3 linked regions of the Mus musculus genome follow. The protein of the gene in region 2 interacts with the protein of the main gene of each other region in a biochemical or structural test. Links are inferred from orthologs where the notes say so. Each region holds a gene or a part of one and is shown on either strand. Other genes may lie near its edges.

Region 1 (3,613 bases), on a different chromosome or scaffold from region 2:
AGGACTTGCACTAAGAAGAAGCCTATGGCACCTGTCAAGTTAAATGTCACTCCCCGCCTCCACTTGGACTTTCTGCTTAAGACCTGCATGTGACTTTTCACCTGCGAGCCACGCTTTTGGTATCTACTGACTTTGATTACAGGAAAGTGTCTGAAGATTTGTATCAAATGACGTCAATGGCCAGCTTGTTTTCTTTCACTAGTCCAGCCGTGAAGCGATTGTTGGGCTGGAAACAAGGTGACGAGGAAGAGAAATGGGCAGAAAAGGCAGTGGATGCTTTAGTGAAAAAGCTGAAGAAGAAGAAGGGTGCTATGGAGGAGCTGGAGAAAGCCTTGAGCAGCCCAGGACAGCCAAGCAAGTGTGTCACGATCCCCAGGTCCTTGGATGGACGTCTGCAAGTTTCTCACAGGAAAGGCTTGCCCCATGTTATATATTGCCGTGTTTGGCGCTGGCCAGATTTGCAGAGCCATCACGAGCTAAAACCATTGGATATTTGTGAATTTCCTTTTGGATCTAAGCAAAAGGAAGTTTGTATCAATCCATACCACTATAAGAGAGTGGAGAGTCCAGGTAAGTTTCACTGTCCTAAGAATTAAAAGCATCAACTTGTCTCTTACCAATTGCATACAACTAGGCTTATTAGCGAAAAGGCTGTATCAACCTTTTTAAAGATTCCATTTTAGAAGGAATTCTAACTTTTCAATTTAGTTTTTGTGAACACCCCATGCCTGCTATTGATAAGCACTTTCTCTAGTAACACCCATTTCCTTTCTGCGGCCTACATGTTTCTGTCATGCTAAACACATGTTCCATATTCACACGAGGTCCTTCTCTCCTTCTCTCCTGTTTGTTTGGGAACTTTGTTGTCAAACACTGTCAATTTTTCTGGCTTTACAATTTTCTTCTCTTACATGTCTTTCACTAAATTATTTTTACTTTCTGCGCCTGTGTGTATGTGTATGTGTGTGTATGTGTGCGCGTGCATGTGCACACGCGCTTCTGTCATGGGACATATGGAGATCAGAGAACAAATCTTAGGAGTTGAGAGGGAGGCCTTTCCTTACTCATTTCTCATTCTTCAGTGCCTAGAATAATACTCTTTTCTAGGTACAGTGGTCAGTTTTTTGTTTTTGTGTTTGTTTTTGTTTTGTTTTGTTTTACAGTGAATTAATTACATAAGCTGATATCTTAGTCCTTTTATTGCTTCTTAGCAGACTATCACACAGACTGGATAAATTCACTCAACTGAAAAGAATTAAACGCAAAACCAACGTGTACCTCCCCAATTTGCATGTAATTAGGTTTACTAACTAAAAGGTTACTTTAGCCTTTGTTAAAGATTAACAATAGAAATCGTGGCGGGCAGAAAGTCCAGGATTAAGAGGCCAGAAGGTGAGGGTCTTGTAATAAACTCTCCTGTAGAACAGAAGAGTGGCATGGGTGTCAGTGAGCCGGAGAGGAGGGAGGGGAGCGAGGTGCACAAAGAAACCTACTTTTAGTTTTCCTTTGGTGCCAGCATCAAATCCAGTCTTGTGCATTTTAAGCAAGTACTCTACTGTGGAGCTACACCCTAGCCCAAGCAACCTGTTCGTGTAACAAAGAGTCCACCTCCACAATGACATCATCTCATTACTTCTGGTGAGAGCCCACCTCTCAACATTGCCACGTTTCCAGCTTGTGAACTTTGCAAGATAGATTCACCACAGCAGCTGAGATACAAGTTGGGTTCTTAGTTATTTTAGTTGCTACATAATAAATAGCCACACATGTGGTAGTTTAAACCCAAAACACATGTATTACCTTATATTTTCTGGGGGTCAGGCATTAGTCACTTTAGCAGCATCTTTTATGAGTTTCTAGTCAAGGTGTTGGTCAGGGCTGGGTTTACCTCGGGAGTCCAGATGTGACAAGATTTAGTTCCTGTACAGGGCATTGGATGCTTGCTGGTGATTGGCTGAAGACCGCCTTCATTTGCCTTTTTCCTCAGTAGGTCACCTGTATGTCTGCTCTTGCACTGCCATTCTCTCTCACAGTAGTAGATTTTCCTTCTACAGACTATCTCTGATAGCATGCATGCTTGTGATGATGGTAACGAGAGTTTTCCTGCAGGAGGGCAATGAATTCTTAAACGCTTCCCCATTACTTTGCCCATAATTCTGTTGGTTAGGAGCATGTCATAGGCCATATGCTGAAGGGGGGAGGTTTATCCAATTACATGACTACACAGACTCAGTCTTCCATACTGGAGGAATTGTAAGCCTTGAATAGTTGAATGTGGAGGCTAAAAGACTAGCAGTGACCTGAGTTATTGGTTAACATTAACCATGAACTTTAGAGCTGCTGCTCTATATGTGAGGTGGATCTCAGTTTCTTATGAAGCCCAAGGAGAGCTATAATATGAGGGAATTGAGGAAGAACAAGGCGGATTTAATGGAGGAATATTTTCTGAAAAATTCTCAAGCTAAGCATTTGCTAGCAATCCATCTAAGAATTGTATCTGTTCCTTCTCACTGTCAGCGTTTGAAGACAGTGGGCAGTAGAATGGTCTTCCTTTTAGTCCACCTTATCATTCCATATGAAGCACAGCAGTGGTTTGGAAATGCCTTGCTAGTTCACCTGATGGATAAATAAAACCTTCATGCTTGGCTGCAAGTCTACACCTCTCCTGGGGAAGGGGTAGCTTCACTCGGGAGGGCTAGCCTAGTTAGGGCTCCTTGACCAGCTAGGGACGGTAGGTGCCTCTCCTGGTCCTGTGCTAATAAAGGAGGTCGTTTGTGACTCTGGCTGCACTGAGCACTGGTGGACACGTGTGCTTTCCTAACTCTGGTACTCTCTTGTGTAGAGTTAGAGATGGAGAAAGCACCAACATCCCACAGCAATAAAGTCTATGTTTACTGTTGTAGACAAAGTAGCTAAGCCTTAACTTATACAAGAGTGCACAGAGTGGCATGAGGAAGTGTCACAGAGAGAAAAAGATAATAAAAGGTATGATGAGCATGAAAGTAAGGCCGGCGAGGTGTGCCAGTATCTGTTTGACTAGAAAGAATTATCTGTTGGCTGAGGTTATGAGTCCTGGGGTTATGATTTTACTATATATTTATTACCTGTAACCTCAGGCAAGTTAGAGAATCTTTCTGTGATTTAATGTCCTCTTCAGCTGGATAGTACGGCTACTAATGACCTTACAGAGTTGTCAGGGAGATTCGGTTAGTCAGTGTCTGTGTTAGTGCTTAAACATTATGTTCCCCAAGCTAGTTTGAAATGAAGGATCATTTCTCCAGAGAGATCCAAGTAGAGCATATGGGGAGTGGGCAGAGAGGAAGTGTTCACACACCCAGCTACTTAGAACTGAAAACTGCGAGAGTCATTCAAATAAACAGTGGAAAAGAACCACAGATGAAGTTCTACTTCGAGGGCTGATTTTGAAGGAAAGACCAGGCCTGTTGCTTCATTGAGGAGATGTTACCAGTTCAGTTCTCTAAGTGCTAAACATGAGCCCTCTTACTAACTTTGAGAGTGGTCAGCGTTGGGAATGTAGATTTCTCAGGGTTCCACGTACTGACCTCAACTCCCTCTGTAATCTTATATCTGTGTAGATCAGTGACTGTCTCTT
Region 2 (4,179 bases):
CTATATAGGTAACAGAAATATCTAAAAAAAAGCCTCACAAAACTTAGCTTCTTGTGCTTGCACCATCGAACACCTTACCAATGGTGCTATTCTCCCAACACCAATCAAAGACTCCTAAATGGATTTATTCCAACCTAGGGTCTCGCTCTCAGCGACAACGGCTTAGAAATGGAAGCAGAGTTAGAGTCTGGATTAACCGTTGCCCATACACGATCCTATTCTTAAGATATTTTCCCTCCATTATTAAATAGTCTGGGCTGCACAGGCTCATAAAACCAAACTGCCTAGGACAAGAACAGGTACAAGCCTGTAATCCCTGCGCTCCGGAGGCTGAGTAGGGGGAATCACAGTTTTGAGGTCAGCCTCAGCTACAGATGAGCCCCTGTCTCCAAAGAGGGTGGTCAAACGCTGTGGGTAGCTGGTTCTAAGGAAGAACCATAGAGTCTGCCCATGAAGTGAATTAAGTTCAGGTCGGATGGGAGTTTGGTAAATATACGCAGCCTTTTCAAGAACCTTTTATTTCCTCTCTAGAATGCGTTACCATAGAGATTGGTTTGCTTGCTGGGGAAAGAAAGCCCGGCTTTTACTTTTTACCGGCCTGACACTCTGGGGGTTTGGGGGTGGGTTCATCAGAAGGCAGGGACTCGAAAACCCGACTGCTTACTTCTCTGGGTTAGTTCAGTTGCATGCAGGTTCCTATCCACAAAACCACCACCTCTCCATTTACATCCTTCATCTTGTTTAGCTGGTCCATATGCCGCACTTCCTCTGAGTCTAGCCACTTTGTCAATCGAATACACCAGTTGCACAGGGCACATCCGACACTCGATCACTGCGGGAAGTCTTCCCTTGGAACTTGCAGGATCTAGTGTGTACCCACGCGCGCACGCGCGCACGGTTCTTGGGGTTTCATGCAACACCCTGGCTTCCATCAGGAGCTTTGAAAAGTCCGACACTGAAGAAACAATCGGTTCCCCCAAATCGTCGCACAAGCAAATCAGTTGGTTCTGAGATTGTGACTAAGAACCAGCTCCGACTGCGCCGCTTGTGTGTGCGTGTGTGTCGTCTACGTGTGTGGGGCGGTGGTGGCCACGGTGGTGTCTGTTTCAAGGCTCCCCGCCGGCTGCAGGAACCTTGCAGCTCCCCCAGACCCCCTTGCGCGCGCCCAGGACAAGCGCGGTCCGCGTAGCGCCGTGCTCGGGCGCGCGCACGCACGCACACACGCAAGCGCGAGGCCGCGCAGGGCCGGGCCGGCAAGGCGGCGGGCGCGCGCAGCTCGGGAGGCGGCGGCGGAAGCAGCGAGGGCGGCGGGCGTCCGGCTGCGAGCGCGGCGGCTCCGGGCTGGGCCAGCCAGGGGCGGCTCCTGGCGGCGGCGCGGCCGAGCGCTCGGTTCTACGGTTCCAGCCCGTGGTCTCCGGCCCAACGCCTGCGCCGCGCACTCGGCGTCCCGGCTCGGACCCCGGCGCCCAGCCCGTGGCCGTAACCTTGAGGCGGCGGCGGGGCCGGGCCGGGCCGGGCTGGGGGGCGGCGGCACTGGATCCGAGGCCGGCCGGCCGCTGGCGGGAGATGTCGAACCCCGGGACCCGTAGGAACGGCTCCAGCATCAAGATCCGTCTGACAGGTAGGCACGACAGGGCCGCGGCCCTCGCGCCCCTAGACTGTCCCAGGGACCCTGCGGACTCCCGCCCCGCCCCCTCCCCCCCCCCCCCCCTTGCACCGGCCGTTGTCCCGGGACCGCTGCACCCCCTACGGCGTGCGCCCCTCGCTCGCGCTCCCGGCCCCGCCCCCCGGGTGCTCTGCAGGCGCCGCCCCTGCCGCCCCGTCCCCTCCCTCTGCATCAGGGCCCGCCCCTGGCACATCAGGACACGCCCCGCTGCGGCAGCCCCGCCCTCCCTCTGCATCAAGCCACGCCTCTCCGATCTGCAGACTCGCCCCCTTAACTAGGCTCAGCCCTCGACTCTTCTGCAGACTCCCCCTCCCCCTCACAGGCTCCACCCCTTGACTACTTTGTAGCTTTGGCGACCCGCCCTATGGCTCCTCCCTCTGCATCATTCCCCGCCCCCTGCTTGCTCTGCAGGCCCAGGCAGCTGCCTTTTCTGCATTAAGCCTGGCTTGCTGTTCATCCCTCTATCATAGATTCCACCCCTGTGGCTGATTCTCTTGGCCCCGCCTCTGGCTCCTTTCTCTTCAGGTTCTTGCCTATCCCCCCCTGCCCACACTACTCTATCTGCCCACACCTACCATCAGTTGCATATGGGCCACGCCCCCTAGCTTTCTCCCTCTGCCCCTAACTTTACCCTTCTGGATCAGGTCCCGCCCCCTAGCTCCTCCACTACAGGACTCCCCCCCCCCCTCTCCTTTCTGCCCCACACCTACCCTCAGCTGCATATAGGTACCACCCCTCGGGGCCCTCCACCGGTCCCCTCTAGTGTCCTCTCTTGACACCGCCCCAGCACCCTCTGATCCACACCTACCCCCCTGCCTGCTTTTCTTCAGGCCTTGTACATAGCCACACACCTTTCAACTTCATGTAGATCCCGCCCCCTCGCTGCACCTCCACCGCTCTTTCCACCCCTACCTCACATTTTCATCATCCATCTCTTCACTCTCATCCTCCTTCTACCTGCTGTTCCCCTCTAGGCCCACCCCTCACCATCCTCCCGCCTGTCCCCTCCCTCTTTTCCCTTGCAGCTTCTCATCACTTCATCTCTCTCTCCTTTCTTTCTTCCCACTCTCTCACATGAACATTATCTACCTTCTCCCTTCTCTCTCTGGGTCCCTTCGAATCATCCCACCCCCTACTCGTTTGCCTTGCTTCTCTTTGCTCTCCCACCGCCTCACCCACTCCTCATCTCCATCTCTCTAGTTTCCCCTCTCCTCTCTTGGCTCCGCCCCCTCTACTGTTTTCAGCCACGCCCCCGTCCCTGCTTGATCCCGCCCTCACTTATCTTTCAGTCCCGCCCACTCGCTTCTGTCTTACAGCCTCCACCCTTAAGTCGCAAATTCCTCAATCCTGTCTGGGACCAAACGTCTGTCTCCCAGTCTTGTTCTCACTTCCCCCACCTCATCAGTGGTCCAGACCTCTCCAGTCTAGTCCACTTCCGTTCTCCCCGAGGCCAGGCCACTTAGTACTCCAGAGACGAGTCCTTGGTTCCTACCTCCTCTGCAATGCCTTCACCCCTCGCCACATCCTTGAGTCCCCCCTCCCACACAAGCTGAGCTGTGGCAGCTGCTCTAGTGCAAGGCGCCTTGTTCCCCTCAGTCTTCAGAGGAATGTTCAGGTTTGCTAAGTGCTCTGTAGTGCCACCTTCAAAGGTGAGCGCAGAGCTTGCTGTGGGTCTGACAGCAGCAGGGCAGTTTGCATGCAGGCAAGGGGAGAGCTCTCTGTCATAGCTGTCCCTCTTCGTGGGTCCGGAGTCTGGACCACTGCCCTCAGCTTCCTCTTTCTTTCTCCCTCTCCTTTCTCTGCAGACCTTACCAGTGTGAATCCATCCCTAAGGCTGCATGCATGGCAGGGTTGGCAGAGGGCCTGCTTTGGGGCTTTCCAGCTCAGAAGAGGAAATACATCGTTAAGTCTGAGGCCTTGCAGGGAGTTCCCTGGATTTTTCTGTTCCAAGGCAGTGTGTTGGGGACTAAGACTTCTGCTTGTCCTTTCAGGCAGAGCCTTAGGGTAAGACCTGTGATCATGGTGGAAATTCTTGGAAAGTTTCTTGTGTTTAAGAAAAGATTGATAGTTTTCCCTGAAGATGTGGGAGCAGATAACGGTGTTTGCACTAGAACCCAGACCCCGGTCATATTGGCCATCTTTGCCTCTGGACAGATACTGGAAGAGACTTGCTCAGTGGACATGCGAAGGGCATGTGTTAGTTAGGAAGTTAGGTTCTTTGACAGTCATCTTTGGGAAAGTTTGCTGCTCATTGACACTGGGCTATGACTTCAGATATGATCCAGGTTGCTTTCAGCCTTCCCGCTAAAGTGACTGACTTGGGGAGTTTCAGTAGAAATGAGATCAGTGGCTTAATTGTGGAATTTGTGGCAGGTATCTATTAACAGATCCTGGTCAACTGGTTAATTTTGGTATTGCAGACTTGGAAAGTGTCAGAGTTTTGGATGGCTTTTGATGGGGAAGGACTAGGGATGGGTGTTAAAGCTCATGGTCTGAGAGCATCTGTGAGCGTC
Region 3 (4,194 bases), on a different chromosome or scaffold from region 2:
GGCAAGACCAAGGTGGGGGGTCCTGGGAGGAGGAGCCACTGGCTCCCTGAAAAGGGGTGGAGACATGAGGGACCACTTCTCTCGTGGGGTACTCAAAATGTGAGGGCTAAGCTGGTGGTCAGAGCACCACAGGGAAAGAGAGGCTAGTGAGATTAAGGAGGGGAAAAGCCAGGGGACTGGACAGTGTTATGGGTGTGGGTGAGTCAGCCTGGGAGCTCCACTGAGCAGCCCAACCCCCAAATCCCAGACATTACCTCATCTTCCAGGCCTGGGCCCACAGCCAGCCCTAGCCCCTCCTTCCTCCCTCCACTCTGGGGTCAGGGGAGGGATAGCGGGCTGGCCCAATTTAGAAAAGACCACCCCACCCATCAGGGCCTAACTCACTCCAGGGCAGGACTCAGCGGGTGGCCCCACCCACAGGTTAAAGCTGCTGACAAAGGAGGCCAGGGGCCAGCAGGGGCCAGCAGAGTGCCCCCAAAAGGCAACATCTGCAGGGCCTTCCTTACCAATGAAGAAAACTTAAGACCTACACTACACTGGCCAGCACTTTCCCAGAGGGGAGGAAGAAACCCGTAGGATGTACGCGTGGGGGAAGGGTCTAGATAGCCCTTAGTCATCCTGCTGGTTGGAGCAGATTCCAAAGCAATTCCAGAGAAGGATTCTGGGAAGAACACAGCATGCATGCCTGCCTGCCCTGTCCACCATGTCTGGCTCCCACAGAGAGAACCAGCCTTGATACCCTACTCAGGCTGGGCAGTGCCTGGAAATTCTCAGGCCCCTTTGGGCTGGGCTTGCCCTGGGCTTCCTGCCAGCAGCTGCCTGCCTACACAGTGGCTGGGTGGGCCTCTCTAGGCAGGCGGATATCAGGGAAGGAAGTCCCTGCCCCCTTTTTGACCCCCTAGGCCAGTCAGAGATACCAAGCTGGAAGGCTGGGCACAAAGTTTGCTTTGAGTCCTACTGACACCAATGACTGAGGGCCAGGTAAGGGGCCTAGACTTAGGCCAGCCCTCTTGGGCTCTGTTGACTAGCCACTGCTGGCCATCCCAACTGGGGCCCGCATTCTTGGGCTTATAAGGTAATCCCCCTGCCTCAGGGAGGAGTCAGTTCCCAGCTCCACCCTCCTCACCAGGGTGGACTGAGGAATGGGAACAGGAATTCTACAGGCCAGCCTCACTACACCTAGGCTTGGGGTCAAAGGCCACACAGCCTGACTAGAGCCAGCTGACTGGGACTCAGTCCTCACACAGGGCGGGAAGAGTTCCCCGTTGGCCTTGACCGTACAGAGAGTACAAGCCGTTTTTGTGCCTCAGTTCAAACCCTTGCTCTGCAGTGGACTTACTGAATGGGCTCCTCCAGCCCACCAAGCTCTGTCACTTGGGGAAACAGGATGACAACTGCTATTCCTTGAATAACTGGAATTAAAGTTACATCCTGCTGGGGACCTGGCTCCACAGGCTGCTCTCCTAGCTAAGTAAGATACTTCTTGGAGACATCAGCCTCCAATACCGAAGGAACAGGCTCCCCCTTGTCACTCACAGATGGCTTGGTGGGAGAGCATCAAATACCATGTCAAAGTAGGGAAGTTGGGAGTGCCTCTCTACTCTCCACCTAGTTGGGAGTCCTGGTAGTTAAGTGTCCATTTGGACCTGGATACTCCTGCCTTATTGGTCCTGGCTTGCTCCTGCTGTTTCCTCCCATGATCCTCTGGAAACCTGAGCACCCAAGAACCCTTGGGGAGTTTGTTCCCCCACCTAGGCTCACCCGAGAGATAGAGAGGGGCACATTGAAGTCCTTGCCCCCTTGCAGACGGAAGCCCCAAGGGGCTGGCCCTTCCAGCACCACCTTGAAGGAATCCATCGTGCCTGCTCCTGTGAGGAAGAAGAGAAAGTGTCTGCAATGCAAATTGGCAGGCAGGTCCAGATCTGGGCACTAGCGTTGGCCAGGCACCAAGAAGGCACGGGCGGACGCTCAACACACACAGGCACTGGGAGGCAGGTATCTCAGCTGGCTTGGCTGGGCTCCTGGCAGGCCGACCTCTCACAGACAACAGACAAGGTGGTTCCCCACCCTGCCCCCTGCCACCGGGAGGGCCTGGAGAGGCCTCTCCGAGCTCAGGTGCTTTTCTCTTCCAGGGGTTGGCTGTGGGGCTAATTGGCACTGCTTTGCCCAAGCTAACCTGGAATCTCAGGAGGGTGGCGGGGTGAGTCAGGGGCCAGCTCCCCCTCCTTCCCCGGGTCCCGGCAGGCAGGCCGCCGCCGGAGCCTGCTCGGACTATATAAGGCGTGTAAGCTGACACTGTAGAGAGCCCGAGGAGGGAGCACGTTAGGGGCTCGGGATATGAGGGGGAGGGGTGGAGAAGGAGGACGCTGGAGCGGGTCCTAGCCATTTTGGGACAGGTCGAGGCTGCTGGTGGTCAGGGCGGGACCCCTGGTCTCTGAAAGGGGAAAAGAAAAACGGGGTACTGGTCCTGTAGAGAGCGACGGGGGCCGTGTCCCTTACGCACGGCCAGAGAGGGGATCCTTTCTGGAAGCCAGAGAAAGTGGTGCCACCCACGCACGATGCTCCCTTGCCAACATGACTCTGTTTCCCTTCGTCTCCCGCCCCAGCCCCGCGCTTGGCCGCGTCCCCACCGCACACAGTGGCGCAGGCGCCAATCAGCCCCACTTCGCCGCAGGAAGGCGGGGGCGGAGGCTGCGGCCGAAGCCAGCCGAGGGAATCTGGCACTCTTCACGACCACCCACGCCCTCCCCAGCGCCTCAGCGGGCCATAGGACCCCGTAGGGTGCAGGCCAGGAACCCCCTCGCGGACGCCGGTACCTGAGTGCCCGCCTGGGCCGCTGCCTGGCAGCCTCCGGGAGCAGCGATGGGATCCGCCGCTGCGCTCTGACCCCGCCTCCGCGGACGCCGCGCCTTTTGAGCCCGCGGAAGGGGGCGGAGCCCTAGGCCACGCCCTCCCCAGGCCAAACGAGTGGACATCCCGGGGTCGGTGGGAGGCCCCACCCAGTCAAAAAACCCTGAGTCTCCAGGAGAGGGAAGGTGAGATCGGGCACTTACCCTCGCCAGTCGGGTCGCTGCCCAGCCTGTGCCCCGCTTCAGGCTCTCGCCCAAGCCCCTTGCGCCTCCCACTGGCGGAGTGGAGGAAAGCATCCGTTTGAAACCCCAGAGTTGATTGATCTCTCACCGTATTCTCTTGTAGAGGAAAATGGCATGGTAACACTTTTCTGTTAGGGATACTGTTAGAGGTCAATATTGTCAGCATCATCAGATTTCAGATTCTCTAGGAACTGGAGAAGCGAGATAGGGTAGTTTCAAGTTAGGCTTCCTGGTGTTCGGGATGTAGCTTAGTGGTGGAGCTCAGTAGCTAAGCTCTCTGGAGGCCCTTGTTTCAGTCCTCAACACCAAACCCAACCAAAGGCTTGCAGGATATAACAAACAAGTAAATACATACATAGTAAGAGCCAACGGGGGCGGGCTTAGCGCCACTTGTTGTCTGACGGTGTAAGTAGAGTCCACAGCCATGGGACTTCCACCCAGAGCCCCCAGAACCACTATTGGAATGGATTGTTTCCCATTTAACCCCAGTCCAGAGTACACAGTTCTTCCAATGCGGTTGGGATGGAAGGGGCTGCCACGGAGTGTTCTCAGAGCCCCTGCTTTAGCCTCGGTCTTAGCCAAGGGTGGGCAGAAGGAAAAGCTGAGCTCTCCTGAATGTTTGAGTCAGTAGAGAGGTGCACAGCCTCCCCTTGCCCAGCCCCCCCATCATCACACCCCCTCTTCCCCATCATTGTCCCAAGTACATAAATTCTTATGGGAGTTGTCATCCTTGAAGAAATCCTCTTCAGGTGGGTCTCTGAGTTCAAGGCCAGACTGACTGATCTATGTAGTGAGTTCCAGGACAGCCAAGGCTACACAGAGAAACCGTGTCTCGAAAAACTGAAGAAAAAAAAAAACCAAAAAAACAAAACCACCCTCTTTAGCTATCTGCTATGCTTCTGTCTCCATCACGTTTCCCTCTTTGTCCCTCGTCCCCTATACTATTGACTCTTTCTCCAGGTCTTCTATGACCTCAATTAAGTCAGCTGCAGCCTTCAGGTTTCATCCTGTTCTGACAGGAATGCTGGTCTACACCAGGTTGATCAGGGGTTTTTTCTTTTTCCATTCCTTCATTTCTATCTTCTTCTTCCCACCCCCACCC

Evidence for each region.
Region 1: of the proteins of Smurf1 (region 2) and Smad5, one has a biochemical effect on the other in vitro, tested with the Homo sapiens proteins (3 studies listed by BioGRID, with this or other methods). The link is inferred for Mus musculus from reciprocal best matches to the Homo sapiens genes SMURF1 and SMAD5.
Region 3: the proteins of Smurf1 (region 2) and Pdlim7 are reported together in a solved structure, tested with the Homo sapiens proteins (2 studies listed by BioGRID, with this or other methods). The link is inferred for Mus musculus from reciprocal best matches to the Homo sapiens genes SMURF1 and PDLIM7.

Annotation. Positions count from the first base shown.
Region 1 is NC_000079.6:56,723,427-56,727,039, forward strand, and holds part of Smad5 (mothers against decapentaplegic homolog 5), read left to right. Parts: intron 1-2; 5' UTR 3-167; coding exon 168-570; intron 571-3,613. UniProt on the Homo sapiens protein: Transcriptional regulator that plays a role in various cellular processes including embryonic development, cell differentiation, angiogenesis and tissue homeostasis.
Region 2 is NC_000071.6:144,962,943-144,967,121, reverse strand, and holds the start of Smurf1 (E3 ubiquitin-protein ligase SMURF1), read left to right. Parts: upstream 1-1,291; 5' UTR 1,292-1,566; coding exon 1,567-1,621; intron 1,622-4,179. UniProt on the Homo sapiens protein: E3 ubiquitin-protein ligase that acts as a negative regulator of BMP signaling pathway. Mediates ubiquitination and degradation of SMAD1 and SMAD5, 2 receptor-regulated SMADs specific for the BMP pathway.
Region 3 is NC_000079.6:55,510,551-55,514,744, forward strand, and holds the start of Pdlim7 (PDZ and LIM domain protein 7), read right to left. Parts: upstream 2,897-4,194; 5' UTR 2,817-2,896; intron 1,869-2,816; 5' UTR 1,858-1,868; coding exon 1,762-1,857; intron 1-1,761. UniProt on the Homo sapiens protein: May function as a scaffold on which the coordinated assembly of proteins can occur. May play a role as an adapter that, via its PDZ domain, localizes LIM-binding proteins to actin filaments of both skeletal muscle and nonmuscle tissues.